2 linked regions of the Stegostoma tigrinum genome follow. The protein of the gene in region 1 interacts with the protein of each later gene in a pairwise test. Links are inferred from orthologs where the notes say so. Each region holds a gene or a part of one and is shown in the gene's direction. Other genes may lie near its edges. The genes, in order: fkbp8 and zfyve27.

Region 1 (9,489 bases):
TTGCCCTTGAGAAAGTGGTGGTGAGCTTCAGCCCATCGAGTCTGTACTATCTGACCTTCTAGATGGAAGTGGTGGTGGGTTTGGAAGGTGCTGTCTAAGGATCTCTGGTGAATTTCTGCAGCAATGTCTTGTAAATAGTACACACTACTGTTACTGAGCACTAGTGGTAGGGAAGTGTATTTGTGTGGATGTGGTACCAATCAATGCTTTGTCCTGGATGGTGTGGAGCATCTTCAGTTTTGTTGAGCTGCACTCATCGAGGCAGGTGGCGAGTATTCCATCATACTGCTGACTTATGCCTTGTAGGTGGTGTCAGGCTTTGAGGGGTCAGGAGGTGAGTTACTCACTGCAGTATTCCTAGACTCTGACCTGCTCTTGTAGCTATTTACAGTATCTGACTGAGTTAACTCACGATGTGGTTCCAAAAACACTCACATTGCAACACCAGCCAGGAAAATAAGCCCATTGATTGGCACCCAGTCCACCACTTTCAACATTCACTCCCTCCACCACCAACACTCAGGAGAAGCAGTGAGTACCATCTATTAGATGCACTGCAGAAATTCACCTTACAAACTTGAAATATCTTCTGTCTGGAAGGACAAGGGCAGCAGATGTATGGGAACACCACCCCCTGCAAGTTCCCCTCCAAACCACTCTCCATGCTGACTTGGAAATATACTGCTGTTCCTTCACTGTGTCAAAATCCTGGAATTCCATCCCAAATGGCATTGTAGGTCTACCTTCAGTACGTGGTCTGTAGTTGAAGAAGGCAGCTCACCATCACCTTCACAAGGGCAATAGGGATGGATAAGTGCTGGCCCAGCCACTGATGCCACATCCCTGAATGAATGATAAAAAGGAAATTAATGAAGTTTTGTCAGAAAAGAACAGCAATAACTCTGGGCAATGCTAGTCTTCATGTAGATTGGCCAAATCAAGCTGGCAAAGGTACATCAGGGACATATTCATAGATTATATTTAAGAAAACATTTTTAGAAACATATGTTTTAAAAGTCAACTAGGGAATCAACTATTTTGGGCCTAATAATGTGGAATGAGGCAGGGCTAATTAGTTACCACATCATAAAGGATTCTGTCGCAGTCAAAGTGTGAAAGAATTTCATATTGCTAGAGAGTGAGAATCTTTGGTCTGAAATTAGTGCTTTAAATGTAATTAAGAACAATTACAAAGGGACTAACAGACTGGCTAAAGTTGAATGGAAGAAATCGTTGAAAGGCAAAATAATAGATAAACTATAACTGACAGTTAGAGATATTTCATAATTCTCAAAGAAGTGGTGTGTATAGTTTCAACCAATGAATGAAAGAGAGCATCAGTGTGTAAACAATGATAACAAAGTGTGGAGCTGGATGAACACAGCAGGCCAAGCAGCATCTCAGGAGCACAAAAGCTGACGTTTCGGGCCTAGACCCTTCATTAGAGAGCTCCTGAGGTGCTGCTTGGCCTGCGGTGTTCATCCAGCTTCACACTTTGTTATCTTGGATTCTCCAGCATCTGCAGTTCCCATTATCAGTGTGTAAACAATCTTGTGTCAGTGACAAAGAACATAAATAATTGGAAGAGAGAGAAAACAACTCAACAAATCCTGTGTTTTCCTTTCTTCCCCTGTTTCTCCACCCTTAATATCCATGACTTGTCAGTCTCCATGAATCTGTTTGTTTGTGAGAGGGAAGAAAATTTGAAAATGGTAGAGTTTAAGTTGTGGAAGGATAAGTTAGTAATTCATATTTCCCAAATGCCATTGTTTAAAGATCATTTACATGAAATAAACAGTTATTTTTTTGTAGACACAGAAACCTGATGAGTGTTTTCTTTAAGCCTGAGTTCATCAGCAGGTAACTTGTGGACATTGGCTGGCTTGACAAAATCTTTTCACATTTGTGATGACTCTGGGAGTACGGGAACTGCTGCTCCAGTGAGTTGTGACACTAGGCAAGTGTTCAATAGTTCTACTTTTTTTCAAAACTTTTTTTAACCCTTGTTTCTAATGCAGTGAACTATTCACCCCAAGTGCTTTAAAGAACTACTTTTGATGCATATCAACAAACTTCAGACACCTTGGTGCAACATAGAAGCCAAATCTGAAATGAAACCAAATCAAAGTTGTTCCCTTTTTAACAGACATAATGTAAACATGTAACTCAAAATTAAAACTATAGATGATTCTATCTACTTCAAATGCTAGGTTTCCAAATAAAAATAATCATTTACATGAAATTTCTTCACACTTAGTGTAGAGGATGTTCGACAAAGATTCACCAGACTTGTTTCCAAGATGACAAGACTGTCTTCTGCAGAGAAATTTGGCTAATGGGGCCTATATTCTCCAGAGTTTCAAAGAATAGGATATGAACTCATTGAAACTTTCAACATTCTTACTATAATATCCTACAAGCTGTGACAGTATCTCAGGATGTTTGCCATGGTTGGAAACAATAAAATACTGGAGATCACAGCAAGTCAAACACCATCCAAGGGGACAGGCAAGCTAATGTTTCGAGTCTAGATGACTCTTCATCAGAGCTGAAGTGGTGTGGAGGGGACAGCATTGATGCAGTAGCATGGGGAAGGGGCATTGGGGTTAGTGGGTGTAGGGTGCTGGTGTTGCAAAGGTGTTGATAGTTCCTTTTAAGTCATTGGAATGTGAGAATGGCAGAACAATGGTGTGTTGCCTGCCATGCCTTGGCTGGTGAGGTTAGAGACAGGGAACATAGCATGACGGACAAGACATTTAGAACTGAGACAAGGAGGAATTTTTTTCACTCCAATGGGCATTAATCATTGAAAATCTCTATCCCAGAGGTTGTGGAAACTCAAACATTGGATATGTTCAAGATACATTTCTGGTTACTTGTGACATCAAGGGTTATGAAGATCATGCGGGAAAATGATATTAAGACAGATGATCAGCCATGATCTTGGGAAATGGCAGACCAAGCTCAAGGGACAGGATGGCCTACTCCTGCTCCTGTTTCCCAGATATTCTGTCAAGAAAGGAAGACACCATGAGAAGGATGAATCATCCAGAAGAATGGGAAATAAGAACAGGAGTTAGTTGTATATATGGCACCTCAAGCCAGCTCCTGGAACCAATACAGTTGTAACTGATCTTTATCAGCTGCCCCTTCCCTCCCACTTACTTCTTTCTTTAATTCCAGAGGAACTGATAATCCCTCCATCCCAGCCTCAACTACGGCCCAAAATGGAGCAGTCTCCGGGGAAGGGATTTCCAAAGATTCACAACTGAGGAGATCCTGGCATGAGAAGGGAAAGGGTTTGAGGCACAGAGTCGAAGGTGGCTGTAGACAAGAAACAGTCCGAAATAAATTCAGAACAGCATGGAATTTGCAAGCAAATTTGTAAAATCATCAGTCCTTCCTGGATTTGTTAAGCTTTACTCTCTACACAAGAAACCAAACAACATCAAACTACATTTATCCCTCACCATCATTCACTCATTCACCTATTTAACCTTCCCCTTGTGCGTGGCTTAATGTTGCGGTGCCTGTGTGTCAGGACACGTCTCAGTGGTAGCCCCACAACACTCAGATACACAGGACCTCTGCTGCAATGGATGAGTTCAGCTTGTCACAATGCAGGCGGAAACAATGTACCAGCGACCAGAAAGCAGCAGAGGTTGTGGTAACTGGGTGGGTGGGGACAGGTGCTGCAAGTTCATGGTGGTGATGCATATTTAGATGGATAGATTGGACATATGGGCCCCGTTCTATAATGTGCTGCTGGCTTTGAATGGTTTTATTGATTTGATGTGTATTGAGTCTCAGCGTGAGTGCTGTGTCTCTGGGTGGGTGCACATTGAATTCTGTGCTAGCTCACTGGATGGGTGCTGGCTGTCTGGGTGGGTGCTGGGTAACTGGGTGGGTTACTGGGTGTGTGCAGTATGGGTGATGGGTCTCTCGGTGAGTATTGTGTTTATGGGTGGGTGTTGGGTCTCTGGGAGGGGTTCTGGGTCTCTGAGTGGGTTACTGGGTGGGTGCTGGGGCACTGGGTGGATTACTGCCTGGGTGCTGGGAGGTTGCATTTTGACTCCTCCCACTTCCTACAGACTAAGGGGGTGGCCACGGGCACCTGCATGGGCCCCAGCTATGCCTGCCTCTTTGTAGGTTACGTGGAACAGTCCCTCTTCCGCACCTACACAGGCCCCAAACCCCACCTCTTCCTCCGGTACATTGATGACTGTATCGGCGCCGCCTCTTGCTCCCCAGAGGAGCTCGAACAGTTCATCCACTTCACCAACACCTTCCACCCCAACCTTCAGTTCACCTGGGCCATCTCCAGCACATCCCTCACCTTCCTGGACCTCTCAGTCTCCATCTCAGGCAACCAGCTTGTAACTGATGTCCATTTCAAGCCCACCGACTCCCACAGCTACCTAGAATACACCTCCTCCCACCCACCGTCCTACAAAAATTCCATCCCTTATTCCCAATTCCTCCGCCGCATCTGCTCCCACGACAAAACATTCCACTCCCGCACATCCCAGATGTCCAAGTTCTTCAAGGACCGCAACTTTCCCCCCACAGTTATCGAGAGCGCCCTTGACCGCGTCTCCCGTATTTCCCGCAACACATCCCTCACACACTGCCCCCGCCACAACCGCCAAAAGAGGATCCCGCTCGTTCTCACACACCACCCCACCAACCTCCGGATACAACGCATCATCCTCCGACACTTCCAACATCTACAATCCGACCCCACCACCCAAGACATTTTTCCATCCCCACCCCTGTCTGCTTTCCGGAGAGACCACTCTCTCCGTGACTCCCTTGTTCGCTCCACACTGCCCTCCAACCCCACCACACCCGGCACCTTCCCCTGCAAACGCAGGAAATGCTACACTTGTCCCCACACCTCCTCCCTCACCCCCATCCCAGGCCCCAAGATGACATTCCACATTAAGCAGAGGTTCACCTGCACATCTGCCAATGTGGTATACTGCATCCACTGTACCCGGTGTGGCTTCCTCTACATTGGGGAAACCAAGCGGAGGCTTGGGGACCGCTCTGCAGAACACCTCCGCTCAGTTCGCAAAAAACAACTGCACCTCCCAGTCGCAAACCATTTCCACTCCCCCTCCCATTCTTTAGATGACATGTCCGTCATGGGCCTCCTGCAGTGCCACAATGATGCCACCCGAAGGTTGCAGGAACAGCAACTCATATTCCGCCTGGGAACCCTGCAGCCATATGGGATCAATGTGGACTTCACCAGTTTCAAAATCTCCCCTTCCCCCACTGCATCCCTAAACCAGCCCAGTTCATCCCCTCCCCCCACTGCACCACACAACCAGCCCAGCTCTTCCCCCCCACCCACTGCATCCCAAAACCAGTCCAACCTGTCTCTGCCTCCCTAACCTGTTCTTCCTCTCACCCATCCCTTCCTCCCACCCCAAGCCGCACCCCCAGCTACCTACTAACCTCATTCCACCTCCTTGACCTGTCCGTCTTCCCTGGACTGACCTATCCCCTCCCTACCTCCCCACCTACACCTTCTCCACCTATCTTCTTTACTCTCCATCTTCGGTCCGCCTCCCCCTCTCTCCCTATTTATTCCAGTTCCCTCCCCCCATCCCCCTCTCTGATGAAGGGTCTAGGCCCGAAACGTCAGCTTTTGTGCTCCTGAGATGCTGCTTGGCCTGCTGTGTTCATCCAGCCTCACATTTTATTATCTTGGAATCTCCAGCATCTGCAGTTCCCATTATCTCTGATACTACTTTAAGAGATCGCTTTGGTACCAAACTGTGGAGGAACCGGAAGTTGATTTGACAGACATTCCGCAGAAACCAATCAGTGGAGAGGGCGCCGCGTGTTTGTCCAATGAGATCCCGCGGGCGGAGCCCGAGCTTGAAGAGCGGAAGTTAGAGACAAGGTGAGGGACAGAGTGAGCAGGGGGCATAGAAACCGGTAAGATACCCTCCGGGGGCCGTAGAAACCAGTCAGATACTTCCGGGGGTCGTAGAAACCGGTCGGATACCTCCGGGGGCTATTGAAACCGGTCAGATACTCTCTGGGGGCCGTAGAAACCGGTCAGATACTTCCGGGGGCTATTGAAACCGGCCAGATACTCTCCGGGGGCCGTAGAAACCGGTCAGATACCTCTGGGGGCTATTGAAACCGGTCAGATACCCTCGGGGTCTAAGGCCTGTGGTGTCCCCCAGTCTGAGGGCACTTTTGTTGCATGGAGTCTGTTTAATTCCCTTTCTGTCCCTGGATTAATGGAAGCTCGGGCCTTTGCTGCTGCAGTGATCTCAGCTGCCTGCTGTAGACGATCAGCTCTGCCTTCGGGGACCAGACACACACACACACTTTCTCTCTCTCTCTCTGACTGTTCCTTCTCTCTGGAAGGAAATAATATCTGCTGGGGCTCTAATAGCTGGCTCCTAAAGCACCAAATGTTAATTAGCAAACCAGCAATGCTGTTCAACTGTGGGGGCATCACCATTTACTTTGATCCCCTCAGTGTCTGTCCCACTGAGGAACTGGGACAGTGGGAGCTGCTTGATAGGGAATTTGGAGACTCTTGTGCCAGTTCATTTACTTTCTTACTTTTCCTCCCTTGCAGTTTCTGAGCTCACATGGAGGAGGTGGCCCGGGGTTCTGCGGGAGCAGCCGGAGATGCAATAACTCTGGGGAGTAAGCATGATGTCGCTCACACCTCAGGGAAGCTCCCAGTCCATACAAAAGCCTTTCTCCTTGACAGTGGGGAGGATGTTGAGATGAGCAATGATGACACTGATGAAGAGGACACAAGTGAGCTCCCTTCTTTGGAAGACTTGGGACTTCCTGAGGTCCAGGTTGCAGCTGAGGAAAACCCGGAGTCCAGCATCACCGTGATGAACAAAGAGGCTGGAAGCAGGGCAGGGAATCAGGACAGTTCACAGGAAACTGATGATGAGTGGCTTCAGGTCCTGGGTATGGTTCAGCTGTCTCACACACTAACCTGTCACGTACTTTCCACATGTTGGTTGTTTATTCAGTACTGTCGGAGGGCCAGCGCAGGGGGAGCGCCGCGCTCTCGGAGGGCTAGCGCAGGGGGAGCGCCGTAATGGCTGATCATGCCACTAGTCGACATTAATCCATCTGCCTTGTTGTCTGTCTAGGGGAGGACATCTGTTGTCCTTCCCTCGTCGAACCTGTGTGTGACTCCAAACCCACAGTGTTGCTGTAGGTTCTTAACTATCTTCTGGGCAATTTGGGCTGGAAAATAAATGCTGGCTCGACCAGCAAAACCCACAAACATATAACTTGTGATGGCATCGTCACTGAATCCTCCTCTAATCCAATTCTCAGCGCTTAATTTCCTTGCTCACTCCTGCAGGGAACGGGCTGCTGAAGAAGAAAGTTCTAGTAGCTGGCCAGAGTCAGGAGCCGAGGCCACAGAAAGGTCAAAATGTAACAGTGAGACTGAAGATGACGTTGGAGGATGGGACTGAGGTGGAGGAAGATCCTAATCTTTGTTTCACCGTGGGGGACGGTGATGTTATCCAGGTTGGTTTTGGGCGAGTTTCTCATTCCTTTCCAATAGAAACAAACCACTGCAAATGGTGGAAATCTGAAATCCAAACTGAAAGTGCTGGATGTGGCTCTTCTGAACTTGCAAAAAACATTCATACTTGACTTAACATTCACCTCGCGCCCCCCCCCCCCCCCACCCCCCCCCTTGCCACCTACTCCATCCTCCTCCTCCACCCTCACAGATACTGCTGGAGCTGCTGAGTTCCTGCAGCACTTTCTGTTTAGATTTCTGGTTCTTTTGTCTTTACAGAGGCAGGTTCTATGAGAGTACTGTTTCAGGGTCTCGTTCTCTCTTTTTATCCAGGCGTTAGATCTCTGCGTTCAGTTGATGGACCAGAATGAAGTTGCATTGATTGTCTCTGATGCAAAATACGCTTATGGCAGTCTGGGCAGGTGGGTGCAGAGACCTCCTTGTAATTCCCAAGCGTCTGGATGAGCAAACCCCAATCCTTACTACAGACATTATCAGGCTGTTTCTCTGTATCAATCCTTCAGCACTTCAGTCCATGTTTCATTAAGACTCCTCGGATATGGACAGGACAAGCTTAGAACAGTTCAGAGGGTTAGCTAAACTAATTCCTGGGATTGGTTTGTGAGGAATGTGTGAACAGGTTGGACTGGTGTTCATTGGAGTTTAAAAGGATGAGAGGCAACTCTACTCTTTTAAACTGAAAGTGAAGTCCTTTTAACGCTGTCCCCATCAAACACTCCCAAGGCAGGGACAGCATGGGCTAGATACAGAGTAAAGCTCCTTGTAAAATGCTGAGTTGCTCTGTCATCTCTCTCTTGGATTTCTGTCCATCTTTGGCTGACTTGTGTTGGATATTTTTCCACAAGTTTTTTTGTGATGGACCTCCTGGATTTTGGAATCTTGCAGTTAGCAGAATTTCAGCCTGTTGTTTTGAGCAGGATTGTTCTGAGGTCCAGTGGGAACCTTTATCAATGCTGTGTCCCTGGGGCTTCATCTGTTTTTTAAAGTAAATATTCTGTGCAGCATAAGGTATGTGGAACTGGTTGGTATAGTAGGAGTTGTCATTAATGCTGTCTCTCGTCTCTCAGCTCTGAGCCCAGTGTGCCCTCAAATGCCACTGTCCATTTGGAGGTTCAGCTTCTCTCTATGGGTGACAGCCCGGATCTGGAGCTGTTGTCGGGGAAGGAGAGACTGCTGCTGGCTAATAAGAAACGAGAGCGAGGAAATACGTATTTCTTGCGCAATGAATATGTCTTTGCAATCGGCTCCTATGACATTGCTCTCAATATCATCAACTCCAGCTCCAAAGGTAAATTCAGCACCGCACTGCTACGGGTGTTGTTTGAATGGAACTGAAATGAAAGATGTAACTAATCTGACGATAGGGGGTGCAGGATGAAGCCATTCACTCTCTATCATTTAGCTTCTTCCTGGCTCCCTGTACCTTGATATTCCTGTCCAGTCACAGCCTGTCAGTATATGATATAAAGTTATGATCTGACCTGGTCCTTTGTTGCAGTCCCTCTTCTAAAAGGCCTAGCTTGGATTGTAAGGCCCGTTGCCTAACCTGCCCCTGCCCTGGAGAGGCAACTCTCACTCTGTCTCTGTCTAGCAACTGATCAGTTCTTTTCAAAATGCCAAAATTCTCTCTTTAATCGCCTACGTAGCTTAAATGTCCCAAGGAATTTGATTTAGGTTCATGCCTTGGCACATAGCATTCTAGTAAATCTGGCCCATCTGGTTCTGAAGTGTAGATGTTTTTAACCAGCTTGCCTAGATGTTTTGACTTGTGTCAGGAGCAGGTGGGATTTGAATCTGGATCTTTTAACCCCGAATTCAGAACAGTACCACTCTGCCTGGAGTGGACACAGTTATTCCAGATGTGGTCTCATTTCGAGAGCTGCAGCTTCTTCCTGCATCTCTGTTCTGGGCCACCAGTTATCAAGGCACACATTGCA
Region 2 (8,630 bases), on another chromosome or scaffold:
ATAATATTATACATCCCTAGCAGGTCTCTTTCCAACCTCCTCCTCTTGAAGAAAAACAATCCCAGCTGATTCAATTCTTCCTCGTGTCTCAGACCATCCAGTCCATGCAGCAACCTGTAAATCTCTTCTGCACCCTCTCTAGTGCAATCACAATCTTTCAATAAGGTGTTGACCAGAACTGCAGTATGGAAGTTGTGATCTAACCAGCATTTTATACAGTTTAATCATAAACTTCCTGGTCACGTTTATGCTTCAACTGCTTTCTTAACCACCTTATCTACAGATATTGACAGTGGAAAAAATCCATTCATGAAAACATTCAAGAGTTTAAACTGCAAGTGATTAGTCTCTTATAATCTGAACTGTTTTTTTTATGCATACAGCGACCTTCCTTAAAATTGGCAGGTGATGGAATAACAATTGCTTTAGGCATGAACCACCAAACAAACTTATTAAATCATAATTCAACAAACACAAAATAGCAGGAACAGAACAGGAACTTGACTTGAACAAAGATCGGCTATTGCCATGTGGCATTATCTGGTTGTAAGACCAATCCTTTAATAGCCTCTTTAAGTTGTAACTCAAATTGCAAATTTATACATATCTTATAACTGTAGTCTTTGACTTTTGGTCAAACGTTCATAATGATTTGCCCTTAGGGAAAAGTCAATAAGTAATGAAATTATAACTATTTTAATAGATACTATACCAAGATCTTTCAATCAAAATAGTCCAACAGAGTTTTTTTTAAATGAGCAATGACAGCTGCAAGCAGTTTAGTTTTACAACGTAAAGAGCTGGAGATTTTAAACAACTTCAGGTTATAAAAGTTAAACAAACCTTTAAAGCCCTTCAAAATGATTTACATCTATTCTTGATTGTCTAATCTCATACTGCAGGTCAAGGCTATTGAAATAGCAAAATAATAGTTGCTTGAACTCAGTACGATGTTAAAATGGGCCTGATGTGCTTGGGTTTCTGTCCTGATGATTCTTGCCTCATCCTTTTTCCTCAATTAACAAAAGTTGGATGTTAGAAATGGGGCCACAACTTCTGCATCTGAGCCCAACTCATTTTAATGTCTGCAGAGCTTTCTGGCTCTGTGAAAATCTCACCCACAGCTTCATTTTAATTGACTGGACACGTTGGACTGAGATGAGGTTAAATGTCTTTACTCATGGGCTTGACAAGAGCTGAAGGTGAGTATATTCATGAGGAGACTGTTAAACGTCTACTTGCTGAGGAATCAAGAAATACGGGAATCAGGTAAGAAAGGGGGATGGAGACAGATGATCAGCCTCAATTCTATTGAATACGAGAATAAGCTGCAGGGGTTGTATAATCAACACCTGTTCTTATTTCTTATGTTCTTCCCAACTCCTATGTTTAATTAAGTTACAATTATTGTAATAATGTAATGATTCCCTCATCCACTCTAATTATTCATTGAAACTATTTGATTTAGCTAATCATAAGAACATAAGAACTAGGAGCAGGAGTAAGCCATCCAGCCCTTTGAGCCTACCCCGCCATTTAACAAGATCATGGCTGATCTTTTTGAGACTCAGCTCCACTTAACCGCCTACTCACTATAACCCTTAATTCCTTTACTGTTCAAAGCCTTGCCTTAAACACATTCAGCGAGGTAGCTTCCACCACTTCACTGGGCTGGGAATTCCACAGATTCACAACCCATTGGGTGAAGAAGTTCCTCCTGACCTTAGTCCTACATCTGCTTCCCTTTATTTTGAGGTGATGTCCTCTAGTCCTAGTTTCACCTGCTAGTGGAAACAACCTCCCTGCCTCCACTTCATCTATTCCCATCATAATCTTGTATGTTATATAAGACTCCCCTCATTCTTCTGAATTCCAATGAGTATAATCCCAGCCTACTCAGTCTCTCCTCATAATCCAACCCTCTCAACTCTGAAATCGACCGAGTGAATCTCCTCTGCACCCCATCCAGTGCTAGTATATCTCTTAACAAGTAAGGAGACCAAAACTGCACACAGTATTCCAGGTGTGGCCTCACTATGACCCTATACAGCTGCAGTATCACCTCCCTGCTTTTAAACTCCATCCCTCGAGCAATGGCAGACAAAATTCCATTTGCCTTTTTTAATTACCTGCTGCATTCTTATTTAGTCTTCTTTAGAAATGGCAAGATTTCTGAATTTTTAAAAATTAAAGTGTAGCCTCATGAATGACTGAGTCATAAAACCATACAGTACAGAAAAGACCCTTCAGTCCATCAAGTCTGCACTGCCAAAGCGATACTAAATTTACACTAGTCCCACCTTCATGCACAAGGCCCAAAGTCTTGAATGTTATGAATTTTCAAGAGCTCATCCAAGTGCTTTTTAAAGTTTGGGGAGGTTTAGTTTAAAGGTTTGGAGAGAAAATTGGACAAATATCACAACAAAATTTATGAAAATGATTTGTGAGTTAGAATTTTTTAACGCTACGTTCAACATGACAAAATTAAAGAAAGCAGTATCATGCACAAAATCTGAATCAAAAATTATTGTTTTTGTTCTGGACAGATATATTTTAATATCTTAAAATGTAATCACATTTCTTTTGTACAGTACAGCAGTGTGTTCGTCAGGAGGGGCTGAACCCCCCCCCCCATTTCTTCTTTGATACTGCACCTTCACCATACAGCTCTCTTTCATTATCAGCTAACATTCATTAGTAGGTACCATGAAATAGATAAAAATAATCAGTGTCCTTTCAACTAAAAGTGGTGCCCCCTCGATAGTACCTCTCAATGGGGAGGCAATTGTCTAGTAGTGTTCGTTTGTCTGTGAACATACCTGGAAGAGAAGTGGCAGCGAATGAAACATTCAAATAAAAACAAAGTAATGCAGATATCGGACACATGAACTGATCATGCCAATTATGTGATAATAAAATGTGAGGCTGGATGAACACAGCAGGCCAAGCAGCATCTCAGGAGCACAAAAGCTGACGTTTCGGGCCTAGACCCTTCGTGCTCTTGAGATGCTGCTTGGCCTGCTGTGTTCATCCAGCCTCACATTTTATTATCTTGGAATTCTCCAGCATCTGCAGTTCCCATTATCTCATGCCAATTATGTGTTTGCTCAAAAGCAAGGAAAAGATACACAACTTTTGGAACAGTAAAGGAATTAAGGGCCATGGTAAGCCGATGGGTAAGTGGAGCTGAGCCCATGAGAAGATCAGCCATGATCTTATTAATAGGTGGAGCATGCTTAAGGGGCCAGATGGCCTACTCTTGGTCCTATTTCATATGTTCTCTCAAAGTGGGTGATCAGGCATTGCCATTAAAAATGCTACCATGATCCATTTGTGCACATGCAGTTACATGGTCAGAAGTACGGTGAGACTTTTATTTATTCATTGTTATTGACCTCTGTAGTAAGAGAAAAGTTTACCCCTATCTATGCTTCTCATAACTTTATGCACCCCAATCAGGACACCCCCATAGCTTTCTTTTCTCTAAGGAAAATGATGTTTCCTACAAAATTCAAGCCAGCAACTTTGAATTTCCAGCGGTCTAGTGGTATTATCGCTAGAATACTAACACAAAGGACCAGATAGCATTCCGGGGACATGGGTTCAGATCACACCATGGCAGATGGTGGAATTTGAATTGATAAAAATCTGGAATGAAGACTCTAATTCAAACCATTGTCAATTGTCAGAATAGCCCACCTGTCATCCAGGAAAGAGGAAACTAGTAACCTTACCTAGTCTGGTTTACGTGACTCTAGACCAACCACAATGTGGTTGATTCTCAACTGCATTCTGGGCAATTAGAAACGGACAATAAATGTTGAACTAGCTAGCGACATCCATGCCTCATGATTGAATAAAAGAAACATGTCGCGTATAGTGCTCAGCATTAGTGAGCAGGAAGCTACCTGCATCCCACCAAGTGGATTGGTTACCTTGGATGGCCAGTTTGAGACGCAGAGGCATGTCCATTCAAAATGGATCATTTGCAGCACTGGCTAAGGTTACCATTGACGGCTCACCTTCTCAACCTCTCCCCTCACCGGAGACATGGTGACCCTGAGGTTAAACCACCACCAGTGCTCTTTCTCACTCACTCTCTTACTAGAAAGAGAGAAGAGCTATGGCCTGGTAAGACAAAGCTGGATTTGAACATTTGAGGTTATTTTTCTAATCAACGGGGCAGGTGGGACGTGAAGCCTGGCCTCCTGGCTCAGAGTCAGGGGCGCTACTACGCTGCTGGCGGTTCCTGGGGAGGTGAGAGCGCCCCCTGCAGCAGCGGCGGACACATCGGACAGGCCTGCATCGATGCGGGAGGAGCTCGATTGCTGCGGCCTGCCTCGGGAGTTGGGGGGCGGGGCGGGGCGGGGCGTGAGGTGACGGTTGGCTCGGAGCGAGGAGACCGACAGAGAGACTGGGCGGAGGAAGCGAAAACAAACGGCAGCGGTCCGGTGCGGGAGCGGCGCCTTCCGAGGAAGCACGGGGGAGGAAGAGGAGGAGGAGCGGGAAGAAGAAGGCGGCGGCCCGCAGTGGGGAATATAATAAATAAATTAGCACGAAGGGAAGGAGAGAGCGGCAGCGTCCGAAACCATCATGGCCGCCACCGGCTGTGGTCTCCTAGCAACCGCGTGACCCTCCCGTGACCCCTGTATGCAGTCACCAGCCCAGCGTTGTGTTGACCGGGCTGGAAACCCACTGCAGCAGCAATACCTCAATTTCATCTAAAACCCTTATTACCTGTGGTGTTCCACATTGCTTCATTGTATAGCTGCGTGTCAGTGTAGATGTTTAGATACTAGAGGTGCAGGTGCAATATTTGTATCTTCCAGACGTGCATTGGGAGCTATGCAGTCTGCAGTGGGCGCTGCCCCTACCTGGGAGGCTGCTGGCCCGGCAGAGGCTGCGGGGGAAAGGAGGAACTCTGCTGGCAGCCCACCCGCCACCAGCACTGCTGCTGCCAGCTGTGCCAGCAGCCCCCCACTCAGTGCCAGCTGCCCCCTGCCCGAGATGGAAGCCAGCCCCCTGGTGGAGCCCAAGACCAGGCACAGACCCCCTCAGACCTTTGACCTCCTGAGCCTGGTCGTGGCTTTCAAGAGGCTAGAGTTCTTCGCAGAGCCACTCTACGACGCTTGGGAGATGGTGAAGTATTTGATCAGGTGTGTTTGTTTATGTTCCTCTTTGTCAGTTTGCCCCCTAACTTGGTGGCTGATAGTCTGTTTTGTTTTGCTATTTACAATGGTTTTTATTTTTGCAGAAACTTATTGGTACAGGTTTTGTTTTCTCCCGTGTTTGTGGGGACCGGAATAGGCCAAAGGGGCAAGAATAAACATGAGTTATTTGGTTAAGATGGTATTTTCCATCGCACAATGATGTATTTTGATGCAACTTTTGTTAGCTAATGGACACCAGTTTATCAAATACAGCTAAACTGTTATCTAGCTTTGTGAAATATACATGACTGTCAAAAGGTTTCATTTATGAATTGTAAATGTGAAGACTGTAATTACATGATTCAGACTGAGCAGTATCTTACCAACATACCATTTAAGACTCTCGGCCCATTTAGCCTGCTCTGCCATTCAATAGGGCCATGGCTTCGCTGATTACTCTACAGTGCTGCTGACAGGGTGTTGGAAATGTTTTATAACCAGTTAATTACTTCAAGCCACAATGGCACTGTTGTAGTCCACTAGCTCTGGTCTGCTCATTCATGACATCAAAATCGCATGACTAAATTAGTTTGGTGCCATTTAGAAGCTAGTTGTCCTTGCCCTGGAATGGTAAGAGGATTTGAATCTGAAGTACTAAGAGGATTTAGCTGCTGAGAGCGTGGTGCGAGGCAGTGCTGTTTGAGGTGTTTCAATCAAATGTGCTAACATGTGAGAGGCCTGCTTATCACTCTTTGCATCCCAGGCTAAAATCCTGCTTATCCAACATTAGCATCCTCTCTCATGCCAACATTCCTAGCACATGCCTGACATAAGACATGATGCCTGCTCTGAGCTCTGTCATGGCAAGTGGTTACCAACAAGGTACAGGAAACATTTCAAGATGTTGTCAAAACCTCCCTGAAAAAAACAATGTCCTCACAGAATCTTGAGAACCCCTTGACTGTGATTTGTCCAAACTGGAGAAGAAATATCCATGAAGGTCTCATCAGTCTCGATCAACTTGGAGGGAAGCAGGTGGAAGCCAGTACAAACAATGAAAGGAGTGTGCACAGATGCAGGCATCCAATCCACTCGCCTGTTGAGATACCACCTATACCATCTGATAGTGTCAGCAGATCCAGCACTGGGCTCTTAGTCACCAGGACTCATCGCACTGAAATAGAAGAAAGTCATCTTCAATTCAAGGATCTGCCACACAAGAAGAGACCAAGGGAGCAGCAAGAGTGATATTGAAAGTGATAAGTCATCTGACACCTCAAACTGCGTTCCCTCTACTGTGTCCAGCCAGTGCATGCAGAAAGCATTGGCATGATTGTGCGCAGACCTTCAGTGCAGCTGCACACACAAACACAGCTTAGTGGGAACATTGCGTGGAATGACAGTGGCCAATGAATCAATATGATCATTGTTGCCAACTTTATTTATTTAAGTGAGACAGTGCAAGCAATTTGTGCGCTGTTTGTCCCATTAACAGCCTCAGTGATAATATTTCCACGCTGGTAATTAAGTTGTAGAAAGAAAATAATTCTACCTTATCACATTTGGAACATGAGTTAGAGTTGCAGAAGGCCATTAACACTGAGATGAGAAGAAATTCCTTCAATGAAAGGATTGTGAATCTTTGGAATTCCCTTTATCTGCTTTGGGTGTTTGGTTTTTGAATATAATCAAGAACCGTTTGATAGATGTTTGAAAAGTGAAAGGTATGGGGATTGTAAGGGCAGGTGGAGCTGAGATAAAAAATAAGTTACCGTCTTGTTAAATGGCGACATAGATTTGAGGGGCCAAGTGATGTCTATATGGCCCTTTTTCACATTGTCCCTCTGTTGTGAAATTTATGATAACATAACTAATGGACAAATTGGTGCTTGTAAATGGTTACATATTGTTGTTAGAATTTACAGAAGAGGCTTTTTGCGGTCCATCATGCAGTTTGTGATTGCTAAGCATGGCAGAGATGCGCCACTGCTGACATCTGGATGCTATCTTGAATTAATGTCTCTCTCCCTGTGTAAGTGAACAGTGAATATTCTGTGATAACAAAGCCTAGAGCTGGATGTACACAGCAAGCCACCCAGCATCTTAGGAGTGATAATGGGAACTGCAGATGCTGGAGAATCCAAGATAATAAAATGTGAGGCTGGATGAACACAGCAGACCAAGCAGCATCTCAGGAGTACAAAAGCTGACGTTTCGGGCCTAGACCCTTCATCAGAGAGGGGGATGGGGTGAGGGTTCTGGAATAAATAGGGAGAGAGGGGGAGCCAGACCGAAGATGGAGGGAGAGGAGAGTTTGGTGGGGAGGTAGGGAGGGGATAGGTCAGTCCAGGGAAGACGGACAGATCGAGGAGGTGGGATCAGGTTAGTAGGTAGGAGATGGAGTTGCGGCCTGGGGTGGGAGGAAGGGATGGGTGAGAGGAAGAACAGGTTAGGGAGGCAGAGACAGGTTGGACTGGTTTTGAGATGCGTTCAACCAGCACTACATTTTGTTATCTCAGATTCTCCAGCATCTGCAGTTCTTATTATTAGTGAATATCCTGTATTACAATTCCCTGACGAACATGTTTTGACTGTGACCCAGAACCATAGAAAAATTTTAGCACAAAGACTCAACCTACCCATTATGTCTGCACTGGCTGAATATTTTAGTCACCTCTTCTAATCCCAGTTACCAGCATCTGGTCTGTAGCCTTTCAGGTTGCAGCTTTTCAGGTGCAGATGCTGCTTCCTTTTAACTGAGTTGAGGATTCCTTACTTAATCACCCAGCTGGGCAGTGAATCGCAGACACTAACACCCTCTGGGTGACAAAGCTTTTCCTTGAGCCCCGTCTAATATTTCTGCCAATCACCTTAAACCTGTGCCCCCTGGCAATTGACCTCTGTGCTTGAGAAAAGAGGTCTTCTCTGCCCAATCTATCCAAGTCTTCCATTATTTCATCCAACTCAAGCACGTCAACTGCCAGCCTCCTCTGTTCTAAGAAAGCATCCCTAGTCTATTCGAGTTTTACTTTATGCCTGCAATTTTCAAGCTCTGGCAACGTTTGTTTGTCTCTCTTGCACACTCTCTTCCCCCATATCCCGTGTGCTTTAATATTTCTGACCAGTATGCCACATGGAAGCTTGTTAATTGTCTTACTAAAATCCAACATTCGCCCTTCAATAGAAACAGATTCTCTTCCTTTTGATATGCACATTCCATGAAATCAGTCTTCATGTGCTGAGAGACAGTAAGAACTGCAGGTGCTGGAGTCAGACCTAACACATCGTGGTGCTAGAGGAACGCAACAGGCCAGACAGCATCAGAGAAGCAGGAAAGTTGACTTTTTGCGTTGGAACACTTCTTCAGAAATTGTTGGGGGTGGAGAGCTCAGAAATAAATAGAGGACGGGTGGGGCTGGGATTAGTAGGGTGTGATGGTGAGTGCAGGTTGGGAGTGCCGGGGATTAGTCAGTGTGCACT

The links.
Region 2: the proteins of fkbp8 (region 1) and zfyve27 interact in binary tests that used the Homo sapiens proteins (3 or more experiments, as listed by UniProt). The link is inferred for Stegostoma tigrinum from reciprocal best matches to the Homo sapiens genes FKBP8 and ZFYVE27.

What each region holds. Positions count from the first base shown.
Region 1 is NC_081383.1:1,566,556-1,576,044, reverse strand, and holds the start of fkbp8 (peptidyl-prolyl cis-trans isomerase FKBP8), read left to right. Parts: upstream 1-5,806; 5' UTR 5,807-5,914; exon of another isoform or gene 5,915-5,949; intron 5,950-6,607; 5' UTR 6,608-6,620; coding exon 6,621-6,957; intron 6,958-7,363; coding exon 7,364-7,533; intron 7,534-7,864; coding exon 7,865-7,953; intron 7,954-8,619; coding exon 8,620-8,840; intron 8,841-9,489. UniProt on the Homo sapiens protein: Constitutively inactive PPiase, which becomes active when bound to calmodulin and calcium. Seems to act as a chaperone for BCL2, targets it to the mitochondria and modulates its phosphorylation state.
Region 2 is NC_081373.1:11,490,043-11,498,672, reverse strand, and holds the start of zfyve27 (protrudin), read left to right. Parts: upstream 1-4,367; 5' UTR 4,368-4,845; coding exon 4,846-5,156; intron 5,157-8,630. UniProt on the Homo sapiens protein: Key regulator of RAB11-dependent vesicular trafficking during neurite extension through polarized membrane transport. Promotes axonal elongation and contributes to the establishment of neuronal cell polarity.